3 linked regions of the Schizosaccharomyces pombe genome follow. The gene in region 3 interacts genetically with the main gene of each other region. Each region holds a gene or a part of one and is shown on either strand. Other genes may lie near its edges.

Evidence for each region. Genes that interact genetically often act in the same process or in processes that back each other up.
Region 1: mutations in wwm3 (region 3) and mug93 together harm fitness more than expected from each alone (negative genetic interaction), as found in Schizosaccharomyces pombe (one large-scale study listed by BioGRID).
Region 2: mutations in wwm3 (region 3) and SPOM_SPCC18.17C together harm fitness more than expected from each alone (negative genetic interaction), as found in Schizosaccharomyces pombe (one large-scale study listed by BioGRID).

What each region holds. Positions count from the first base shown.
Region 1 is NC_003423.3:1,459,891-1,463,583, reverse strand, and holds mug93 (TPR repeat-containing protein), read right to left. Parts: upstream 1,866-3,693; coding exon 1,809-1,865; exon of another isoform or gene 1,750-1,808; coding exon 1,640-1,749; exon of another isoform or gene 1,486-1,639; coding exon 501-1,485; downstream 1-500. Other genes in the region: ribosome biogenesis protein Llp1, read right to left, coding at 2,517-2,822, 2,962-3,009; rRNA endonuclease Utp24, read left to right, coding at 3,600-3,693. UniProt on the Schizosaccharomyces pombe protein: Has a role in meiosis.
Region 2 is NC_003421.2:1,985,834-1,990,175, reverse strand, and holds SPOM_SPCC18.17C (proteasome non-ATPase regulatory subunit), read left to right. Parts: upstream 1-2,000; 5' UTR 2,001-2,036; coding exon 2,037-3,503; 3' UTR 3,504-3,842; downstream 3,843-4,342. Other genes in the region: fum1 (fumarate hydratase), read left to right, coding at 76-1,545; riboflavin kinase Fmn1, read left to right, coding at 4,234-4,342.
Region 3 is NC_003423.3:200,283-204,381, forward strand, and holds wwm3 (protein wwm3), read left to right. Parts: upstream 1-1,998; 5' UTR 1,999-2,253; coding exon 2,254-2,685; 3' UTR 2,686-3,341; downstream 3,342-4,099.

The sequences.
Region 1 (3,693 bases), 1.3 Mb from region 3:
TGTGTATCTGTGAAATGGCTTTGTTATAAATAAACAAGCAATTTAGTAACAGAGATGTAGATATTTTGGATATCTTTTTTATTTTGATTAAATCGTGAATATGCGATTCATGGCATATACTCAGAGTATGAGAAACGGCAGTATTGGTGTGCAACACAAAACTGTCTTGAAAGTTTTTTTGTCTCTTTCATTTTGTTCAATTTCTTTAACAATTACACTTAACATTTGACGGACAATACTTGTGTATTGGGTCGATGACTGTCTTCATTGCTTGGTGTATCCGGCGGTAAACAAAATGGCAAACATTTCTACTTTGCCCACAAATATATAGCTTCATGTGGTTGATAATGATTATTTCAGCACTGAAAATAAGAGGTTGATATACAATGAATGTGTTATTCATAAACTACACACGGTTATTAATGCCTTCTACTCCAAATGATTGCATCGATGGTTTCTGGACTGACTTAACATACAAAAATTTATTGTCATCAATGTTATCATGTGTAGCAATTGATTGGGATCTCTGCAATTTCAAATTCAGAAGAGAGATCAGTATTGTTGATGGGTTTTTTGGAAACATGCCAGTTTCTGAATTCTTCTTCTTGGATGTCAGGAATATGCAAAAGAATTTGAGCTGCCGTTATATGTAAACAATGTTGCACGACAAAACTGAACCACGGCAGCCCACTCAACGCTTGCATCAGCGATCGTGCCTTGTCGGACCATTGCTTGCAAAACCTTGAACACAATCCGATATAGTGTATTGATTTTAAGAATAAATTTAACTGCTCAACCGACATTCCATGAGCTTTGAACAATTGATTAATTGTGGAAATAGGAAATGAAAACGTTTCAATGTACAAACAGGGGGCAGATAGGACTTTTATCATATAAAGAAACTGATCTATGTTTTGAGGGCATGGGTAATTGGATCTGTACAGTTCCTCTGGGACCAATAGAGAGTGTTCTCCCTTAGTTATTTTATTTTCTAATTCGTCCTCCGAGCTTTCTATTCCGATTTGGGCGCTGGGCGAGTGATTTTCGGTATCATCCTTTGCATAAGTATTTGCCATGTAAAGCATAGACCGCATTGCTGAAAGATTCTCCTTTTTCAGTTCGCATTGCTGTCCACACAATTGGCAATTGTCGTGCACTTTCTTCCACCAGATCTTGCCACGAATTATATTAGGGTATTGTTTTCGCAATCCTACAGGTAATTGCTGAGAAGAAGCAACTCTAAGGTGTCTTAACTGCCATGTTTCTGCACATTCTCTGTAAATGTAATACACTTCCTTTAATCTATGAAGAGATTTTTGGATGTATGTATTGTTTGGGTCCAGTTCAAGTGAATGCTCCCAATCACGATTGGCTAAGTGAGGATGTCCAAGTCGCAAATAAGCTAGTCCTCTCCTCCATATCACTTTTTTATCATACGGATTGATGACTAGAGCATATGTACAGTCATGAACTACTTTAGTATAGCTGCATGCAAAATAAGTTAGTTAGCATAAAAGCAAAACTGCTGCAAAGGTTCAGACGATGTTTTTTTTTCTTTCGAGAAACCCCGTTAATAATCCAAAGGATTCTCTGAACCTTTGTGACATAGGTAATTTGTTAAATTTATTATGTTACATACGATTTTTTGCGCAAATGAGTTAATGAGCTATCGGCGTAAACCGGTGTAATGGTGTTTTCATTTCCAATTGCATTAAGGAATTCATCAAAAACATCTATTTCTCGTGTGTTCTGTTTATTGAGGGTTAGAAACGTTACAAACATCTTCTGGTAATCAAAGTAGAGCATACCTCTAGTGCAACATAATTGCTTTTTTCCACCAAGTTTACGTTCTCCTTTTCTTCCATTGCGATTTTGAATGCAGATGGTTCAAATCAGATGGAATGTCAATCTATTTGTTTATGTGGTAGAACAATATTGGAATGTATGTGTGAAGGCATATCATAACCATGTGCACTTTTGTAAACAAACAATAACTAAAATTATATTTTAAGCGATAAAAAATACGCAAATAAAATTAATTTAATATTTAGATATTCATACTTTATTACATTTCTGTAAAAATCAGGTTTTACAACCAAGAGCATTACTAATTCTATTTCATGTGGTAAACAAAGCAAAAAGCACGATTTAAAAGTGCAGTTTTTGAGACAGAGAGACGTTATTAGTTACATCGTACTTAATTACAATAAATATAAAAAATAAAATTAAAAAATTGACTTATTCCAACAATATAGAAACTTCATCGTGAAAAAAAGTAAGTCTTTGAAACAAAATATTCATTATTGGAAAAAAATATGTTTTTATAAAGAATAATATAAAATAATCCAAACCCCCCAAAAGCAAACAAAATCCTTATGCAACACGGTCAACGTCTCCAGTTGAAAACCAGAAATTTGAAAATAAAATTATCCCAAGGAAAAAAATCTGAGAAAAAAGATTGATAATTAGTTCTTAAAAAGATCTCGGAGTTTATATATTAAATGGTGAACTTAAATTTACTTTTTCTTCAAAAATTTCGAAAAGTTACTGTTCTTGGCACGCTTTCCTTTCTTTAAATGTTTCTTTGCCCATTTGTTGCGATTGTTGTCACGAGGACCAGAAGTAGAGACTTTAGGCTGATCAACTTCCATACCAACGTTATCGGATACTTCTGAACTGCTGACTTCTTTCAAGGAATTATCGGCGATTCCCTCTTCTTTGCTAGAGGATGACTTTGTAAGGTCATTGACCTGGTCACGTAAGTGCGCAGACAAACGCTTAGTCCGCTCATCAATTACGGGTTGAAAAACGTTTTCTCTAAGCTATTACTTTGTTAGATAATCGATAAAGAGGTATGAGAAGGGCAATTGTTTTAAAGACGGTTCCATTGTACATAAACCGTTTCCGAAACCAAAAAAAAAGACATTCAATCCCTTCATTTGTCTATACTATACAACATACCACTTTTTTATTGCGACGAATGCTTTTTGAACGTGCTGATTTTGCCATTGCTGATGTGTGAAAAAGTTGAATGCAAAGGTTCATCCATTTTTACAAAACTTATATCATTTAAAATAGCACGCTGGTATTCGTTATAAGCTATACCGTTTGTAGGGTACGCAGGGAAAGCACTATTTAGCAGAATGTATCATGAAGTTTTAGTGAATAAAGTAATTCATATTAAAATACGTACTACATATGTCTGGGCGGTTCACCGTCTCTTCTACCCTTGAACCACAATAAGTTAATTGAAAGAAATAATTTGGGCAATGTAATATACAAGAAAGTATGTCGCGTAAAGTTGTATTATGTATTTTTTCGTATCGTTATATAAATATACCTATTTATTTTTTTAACGATCAGTTGGATTAAAAATACGTTATGCTTCCATTGTGATACACTATTTTACATTATGGAAGTTTTAAGAATGCATTGAACTTCATTGTCCTTCAGTCTCATCCAGCAGCCTGCTTCCCTCTTTGAACAACTAATAATTTTTTTGGGCACTTCCAATTGAAAGGGTATTTAGAGCTTTGGACGTTGAATGCGAAACTTGTAAATTAAATCACTTCTTCTTTCTCTTCCGTTAATTATTTTCAATGGGTAAAGCAAAAACTACACGCAAATTTGCTCAGGTAAAGCGAGTCATAAACCTTAAGGATCAACGATTGCAAAAGAAAGATCAGAAAAAAG
Region 2 (4,342 bases), on a different chromosome or scaffold from region 3:
GTTGAGTCACATCTATTTCGCTTTACTCTATTGATTTATGCAATTTGCGTATGACACTAACTTTTTATTTTTTAGTTACCTCTAAAAACTCATAGAATGAATTCCACTACTCCGACTTATCATCTCATTCCCAAAGGCGGTAAGCATGGCGAGTTCCGACAGGAATCTGACACCTTTGGTCCCATACAAGTCCCTGCAGAAAAGTATTGGGGTGCTCAAACTCAGCGTTCTCTTCAAAACTTTCGAATTGGTGGTGAAAAAGAGCGACTTCCTCTTCCCTTAGTTCGCGCATTTGGAGTTTTAAAGCGTGCGGCTGCTTCTGTTAATCGTGAATTCGGTTTGGATCCCAAACTTGCAGATGCCATTGAACAGGCTGCCCAAGAAGTCATTGATGGTCGTTTGGATGATAACTTCCCCTTGGTTGTTTTCCAAACTGGCTCGGGCACCCAATCCAATATGAACAGTAACGAGGTAATCGCTAATCGTGCCATAGAAATCCTTGGTGGTACGTTAGGTTCGAAAAAGCCCGTTCATCCAAACGATCACGTTAACATGTCTCAATCTTCTAACGACACTTTCCCCACTGTTATGCATATTGCCTCTGTTTTGCAAATTCACACTCATTTACTTCCTGCCATGAAGCACCTCCACCGGGCCTTGAAGGGTAAGGAAGAGGAGTTTAAGAACATTATCAAAATCGGTCGAACCCACATGCAAGATGCCACTCCTCTTTCTTTAGGTCAAGAATTTTCCGGCTATGTTACTCAGGTTGGTTATGGCATTGAGCGCATAAACAACGCTCTTCCTCGTCTTTGTCTTCTCGCTCAAGGTGGTACTGCCGTGGGTACTGGACTAAATACTTTTGAAGGATTTGACGTGAAGGTTGCTGAGAAGGTTTCAAAGCTTACAAATATTGAGTTTAAGACCGCCCCTAACAAGTTTGAGGCTCTTGCAGCCCATGATGCGATTGTGGAGATGAGTGGTGCTTTAAATGTTATTGCTTGTTCTCTTATGAAAATTGCTAACGATATTCGTCAACTTGGTTCTGGCCCTCGTTGTGGTTTAGGCGAATTGATCCTTCCTGCTAATGAACCTGGAAGTTCAATCATGCCAGGCAAAGTAAACCCCACCCAATGTGAAGCCTTAACAATGGTTTGTGCTCAAGTAATGGGCAATCATGCCACTATTACTGTCGCTGGTGCCTCCGGACACTGTGAACTCAATGTTTTTAAACCTCTTTTAGCAAAGAACATTCTAAGCAGTATTCGTCTTTTAGGGGATGCTTGCGAGTCTTTTACTGATCATTGCGTTGTCGGCATTGAGCCAAATTACGAAGGTATTGCCCGTCATCTTCGTGATTCCTTGATGCTTGTTACTGCGTTAAATCCTCACATCGGTTATGATAACTGTGCCAAGATTGCCAAGACTGCTCTTAAAAATAAGAGCACTCTCAAGCACGAGTTTGTTACTTTGGGTTTCGGTACCCCCGAGCAATTCGATGAATGGGTTCGCCCTGAATTAATGATTTCAGCTAAGAAAGTATAATTTTTTACCACTCTACTTGTTGGTCCGTTAATATTGGATCATCAGTTGTTGCTCTTTATCCTTTTTCATGCTCTTTATCCATCCTTCTCTTTTATCTTCTCTCAACTTACTTTTTACGAAAATCATTCCCCTTCTCATAATATTAACTAGCTTTTTTGCAAAAATACCCATTATGTTAAATGAGTTTTTTTTTCTTGCACAAGCCATAGGCTCTCAAACAAAATAGTAGGCACTCATTTAAAAAAAATGGTTAGTTCGTGAAGTAGATTAATGCGTAATTTTGATTAAGTGTTTCTTTGTTTTCCACCCCTACAGTTATAGTCGTAAACCAAGAATGCAAAGGTGTTTGATACCCTTTTCTTTGTATGTGTATTTCCTTGATATTCGGTTGCTCGGTTAAAATTAAGCTTACTTAAACGAGATAAAATTGCCTCTTGCCTGATTTCAGCCGATCCATCGCCAATATACGGGATCTGTTAAAAACAAGCCAAATGGATAGTATAGAACTCATACCAGGCTTACCAGGACCCGGTAGAAGACTATTACAGTTATTGAAAGATCTCCCTTCAAACCCGTCGGTTATCGTTCGTGAAATCCCTGATGCCATAGATGCGTTCCGTGAAAGTATAACGCCTGCTACAAGGCCATCATGCTTAGGACTCTTGGATACCATACTTAGTTGTTTTGAGCTTCCAATACCTACCGAGCCGATTATGAAGGCTTTGGGTAAGCTGCTTGAGCCAATGAGTTGGGCCGATTTGAAAAAGTTTGGAATTGAATCTTACTTGGTTACTGGACTTGAACATCCTTCTACAGATGTCGAAATCTTTTGTCTGCACCTTATACGCCGTGCAAATTGGGAAAAGAAGGAGATTGGTGAACCACTGTTTGAGGCGATTATGGCATGCATCAACTCTCGAAGCATAGCAGTTTCCGAAGAAGCTACTGTTTTGCTATTCGATATGGCAGATTTTCCATACTACTTTAATTTAATTATAAAGCGTTTTACATTTGTTGACTATGAAATTATGAACTCTACGCTGAGGGTACGCTGGTTGACACTGTTCGCAAAACTGTCTACGAAGTCTCCAGAATATTTGGAAGAACTGATTAAGGACGACAAGCTTGTAATTAATGGTGACAATAAAGACATATTGCTTCAAATTAATTTCGTGGATGTCCTTGGGATAATGTTAGAGGCTCCTTTTACATACGAGTATATAAGTTCTGAAAAAACAAAGTATTTGGACACGATCGCTCAAGACTACAAAGGTTCAGCGGATTCTTATACGGATCATATTGGATTAAAGTTCCTTCCCAGGCTCTGCGAATTGCATCCAGACGCTATTAACTCGTTGGATGAGAAGCATCAACTATTTGACGCTGTTCGCGAGAGAATGAAGACGAACGATGCTACATCTATTCTTCTTTACGGAGTTTTTTTGTCTAACACAGTGGTAACTCAAGCACTTATCAAGAAATATGGCATTGAGGACGAAGCTAATCGTTATGTGCCAAGATGGTTGACAAGACGATTTTTGATGGACGAACCGGGTATGTCTTCTTTTGCTCATGCTCTTTTACAGCCTGATCATAATTTGTGGATGCAGCTTTGGAGAATATTACCTCCCAACACCTTGAGCACTTTAGTAAACACTGCTTCTTCTCCGATTCCTCGTTCTAGGCAACTAGCATACCAATGCTTGCTACACATTGCTCAAAATTCGCCTATCCAAATTGCTTCTGAAGGATTCGCTATCCGTCATTTACTTGAAGCAGAAGGTGACCATGAAACATGCTTACTGCGGTTTCAAGTGTTAAAGACCATGATGGAATCTCCTCATGGCGGACCCAAGCTACCTTTTGGTAGATATCGGGAAGACATTCTTAAAAGACTACAGCAAGGGCCGATTGTTAGCGGTGCTTCAACGTTAAAAGTGGCCGCAGAAACTGCTTAAGTAGTTTACAACTATTATATTCCAAAAAATCTTGCTTTCTTCTATTATTACAGCAAGCAAAATTTTCCCTCTTTTTCGACTTCCTTAAACGTCAGGTTCGTATGCCGCTTTTTTTGAAATATGATGTATAAAAAAAAATGGCTGTTAGCTATAGGGATAGTGTTTAGTTTCTTAACATGGATATTTATAGTCCTATATATTTTCACAAATGGAAAGCTTTTATGAATTGCAATTTCACTTTCACTTGGCAGTCTTTGGGGACGGAATTTATGGATGCCACCCAAGGCCTTTTGTCAATCTAATAATTATGCAATTGTCTACTTGTTTCTCAAAAAATTTAATTAATAACTATTTTATTTTGTGCCCAGAACAGCGCTGTAAAACTGCTTGAATACCAAGCGCTATTATATTAAGGTTAAATCTTTAATTCCTCTTGAATATCAAACGCAAGTTTTTTATTAAACTTACGAATTCATAATAGAGTTAAACAACCGTTGAGCATTTGTGGTTATTACCAACCTTGAGATTTAACCATTGATGGTCAATGGTTGATGAACCAATTGTTTTATTATTTTTTTGTTATTCATAGATATCAACTAAACTAATTTAAAATAAGCGTAATGGAAATATTTGTCCAACATGACTCTCTTCATTAGGCTGAGCTACGCTTACTAACTACCTACTTCCACTAGTATTTTTCCAATTGCGCTAGCAACCTTTGATTTACTCTATGACAGTTAATTTAGAAGAAAAGAGGCCTGAAATTGTTGGTCCTGAAAAGGTGCAAAGCCCTTATCCTATTCGCTTCGAAGGGAAAGTTGTTCATGGCTTTGGTAGAG
Region 3 (4,099 bases):
ATGATGAGTACTAATGCTTTGTGACGTAGATGATTGGGAAGTGCTAAAGGTGGGTGGGTGGATGGAGTAGTTAGTAGGAGGAGAAATGAACCTTAAGATATAGAAAGAAGTGGAGAAAATAAATTCGTTCTATAATGACTGGTCATCCAGGTAATTAAAGAGAGGGAGAAATTTTTGAGGTTGATTGTTTTCATCCCGCCCTTCCTATTAGCAATAAGGAAATTTGGTGTTGTTTATTTAACGAGATTTTTCGTGGGTTGATGGTATGTGGCTTCAGAATGGGATAATAACCTTGCATTGAAAGAGCAGGATATAAAGCATGCTTCAAAATATGTGTGCTATTAGCTATATTTTAAAAGACGTGTATTTTACCACAAATTTATTCTTCACATGTAATTTTCATACATTCACTTTTATTCTTATATAAACTAATGTCCCGTGGAATTTTCACTAAGCTACTACTATATTTATTCATAGAACGAGAAACCACCCTTTGTGGACATTTAGACTATTATTCTAACTTGATTCACGTGCCGTGTTGGTAAAAGCATAAGTTCAATTAAAAGAGCTTTTATCTCTAAAATAGAAGCAACAAATGCGATGCGAGTAGGAATGAAGTCAATTCTTAAAGGTAAAGCTTCTACCAAGATAAACTTACATATGAGTTAATAAATATTATGGTTAGGATACTCAAATTATAAGATAGCTTTTTGAGATTGTTTTTTGTTTGTAATATATTATTTTTTTTTTTTTTTCCTGTTTCGTTAGATCGTTATTTATTTTATTTTATTGTACTGTGTTTATTTTATTTTATTGAATAGTTCTTATGTGTGTGTTGTCTTTTTTAAATTTAATATTAAATGACATCTTTTTATTTTTTTATTTTTATTTTTCTTTAGCTTCACTTAAACCAATTATTCCTTTTAACTCATCGTCCATATTAACTATAATGTCTCCATACTATTTATGCTTCCTTAATTTCAAATTTCTCATTAACATTAATTTTACATCTACATCTACATTTATATATTTTTTTTTTGCAAACCTACGTAGAGTAACTTTCTCTTTTCCTTCGTTAAAACGATATCAATTTTAATACGAATTTACTCATTGTATTTCCATCTTTTCTCGTCTCCTCGCTCTAATCCTTTGTCGCTTTGATTTATTTGATTGCACTTACTCCATTGAAAACTCTTGATTCCCCGAACCCCCACATCCATCCAGTCCTTGAGAGATGCAAGACAAGAGAGGTTCATGGACCCAAGTGGGGTCGATTTTTTTTGGAGTGAGTTCCTTTTGATATCAATTGACCATGCTAAAAGCTTGACAAAAACAAGTATTTATCCAAGTGAGAACTAATTCACTAAGTAGATAATTTTTTGTTAAAGTTAGTTTTATGAAACGTACGTTTACTATTTACTCAAAAAAATTGAACCGAGATATCGGAGTCAATGCTATTCGCGATTCAAAAGAAAGATCAAGTGTTAACAGGAGCTTGAGTCGAATTTTCATACACTCATATACCCAAAGAAACACATTAATAAACAAACACCTAACTTGGCGTTTGTTTTCAAATACTAAACGAGCGCTGACGTCAATGGCTGATCGATCTATAGACTAGCGAAAATAGCAATAATTTGTACAATTGGAAGATCATAAGTATACATGGGTTTGAGCTTTTAGCGTGCACATTTTCGTATCAATTTCTTTTCTGAATGTAACTAAAAGACACTACAGATATTGTAGTAAATTCATCTTCCAATTCACTGCTTTGCTGTTAGGATATCGGGTACACAATCGCAAAATAGATTGCGGCAGCTTTCGGCCCCGCTCATATGTTTTCTATTCCGATGGAAGAAAAAGAGTTCAAATCGCACTCGCTTCCACACTACAACTACGCAATAACTCATCATTTCCCCACAAAAGTGACGTATTGTCCGTCGGCTATGTCCTAATGCAAAGCTTTATTTATTTGCGAGTTTTCCTCACCTTTTCGTCAATCTAATTTCAATCAATCATTTTTTTTACTTGCTTCATTTTCAAAGCATTCGTTATTCTAATCTTTTCTTCATTCTTACTATAACGAGATCATAAATTCTTTCTTGTTATACATACCGTTTCTACTTCGCTGCTAATTCTTTTTTTCTTTTGACATTTGTGCCTGTCTATTAATAATTCTTAACAGACATACTCTACTTCTCACTACTTCTTTTTTTCTAAGTTACAGTTTCTCATTAATTACTTTATCGAAAGATGTCTGTTTATCAAACTTACAAGGGCTTGCCAGCTGGTTGGGTCGCCCAATGGGATCCAACTTATCAAGCTTACTTTTACATTAATGAAACGTTTGAAGGTGCTCAACCACAGTGGGAGCCTCCTATTCCAGGCTTGCATATTCCTCCTCCTCCCGGTACCACTACCGTCGTCTATCAAAAGGACGTGCCTCGCTCTTCTGACGGCTCACGGTCTATGACGGCTGGATTAGGAGGTTTCATGGTTGGAGCTTTAGCCGGCAGTGTTCTTCGTGGTCACCGTGCTTACTACGCCCCTCCTCCTCCCAGAGGCCCTTTGTTTGGTCCAAGAATCGGTGGTGGCCATCATGGCCCACTTCATGGTCCTCACGGTGGTTTCGGCGGCCGCGGTGGTGGACGCATGGGTGGACGTGGTGGACGTGGCCGCAGATGAAAAGCGTTGATTTTTATTTAAATTTGGTTCCGATTTCGTCCTACATACTATGGTCGTTGATTATGGAATCGCTCTTTTTTTTTGAGAACATCACTTTCTCCTTTGAATAGAATCACCAAATTCACGTATACGACTCTTTCGAAATTGTTAAATGGAAAACACGATATCCAGTGAAGTTCTTTTTATTCCCTTGAAATTTCATACTATTTTTGCTAATCGTTCTAAAATTGTTATATTCTGTTAGTCGTTCTTTGACCTAATTTCTTGTTTACTTATATTAATTTTGTTATCATCTGATCTTTACTTGTTTCAAGCTTCCTTATTTATTGTACCATTGCATTCTTTATTGGGATTTCGAGGAAAACGGTCTAATTTATAAAATTTCTGTTTAATACCAAAGAAGTAAGGAGCATATATTATAATGGGTGTGAATATCGACGGAGTTGGTTGTCGATGGAATCATTTTTTTGGCATTTATCACTTCGACGTGTATTTACTTATTTATTTATATTTTTTTTTGGTTAATTGTAAAAAATTGGGTGAAGCACAATTTTTGAAACTTTTAAAAAATCAATGGTTGTTTTTTCAGACGTTAAATTAGTTTATTATGCATGATTTAAAATAGTCAATTATATATCTTTCATTTATTATTATCATTGTTTTTTCATTACTAGTTGTCCTTTTTTTTTGGGTATTTTAGTTGAATAGTTTATAGTGGTGTATTACTGACTATATAATTGGCAAACTCAGATATTTGTTTGGTTTTGGATTAAATGCACAATTCCGAAAAAATTAAGGCAGAAAGAAAAAAAATTTTTTTTACACTTATGGGATGTCATACCACTATTTTAAAAGACAAACAGATATCATTTGAATCGTTTAAAACCTGTATTTATCAAGCTGTTTAAAATAAGAGAAATATAACTTGGCTCTTGGATACACATAATGAAATAAGAAAAGTTAATATATTTCAAAATTAAGAAATATTATCTACGGTACAACATTTATTTGTTCATATTACGATTATTCAGTAAGGATACGTAAATTTGTACCTGGCAATTATCAAATGAATGTCGAGGGTTTTCATAGCAATGCAAAACCGTTTGTTTTTAAGCAAAGCCGGCGATTAAAAAGGGTAATAAGAGCAATTTTCCTTTTTCAATTAGCTATGTTTCAAGTCAAGCAGCATTAGTGAAACCCTGATATTCTGAGTTTGAATAAAACAAATTGGCAGTCTATTTTCCATGAACAGCTTTCGATAATTAGTGAAGTACTTTTAAAAACACGTTAATACCACTTTAATGGAACTCGTAAATTCGTAAACTAGGAATGACGAATTATGGTTTGGGGCAATCACGATATAGTAAAATAACGAAATTTGCATAATGCTACTACCACTACATCAGCCTCTTAT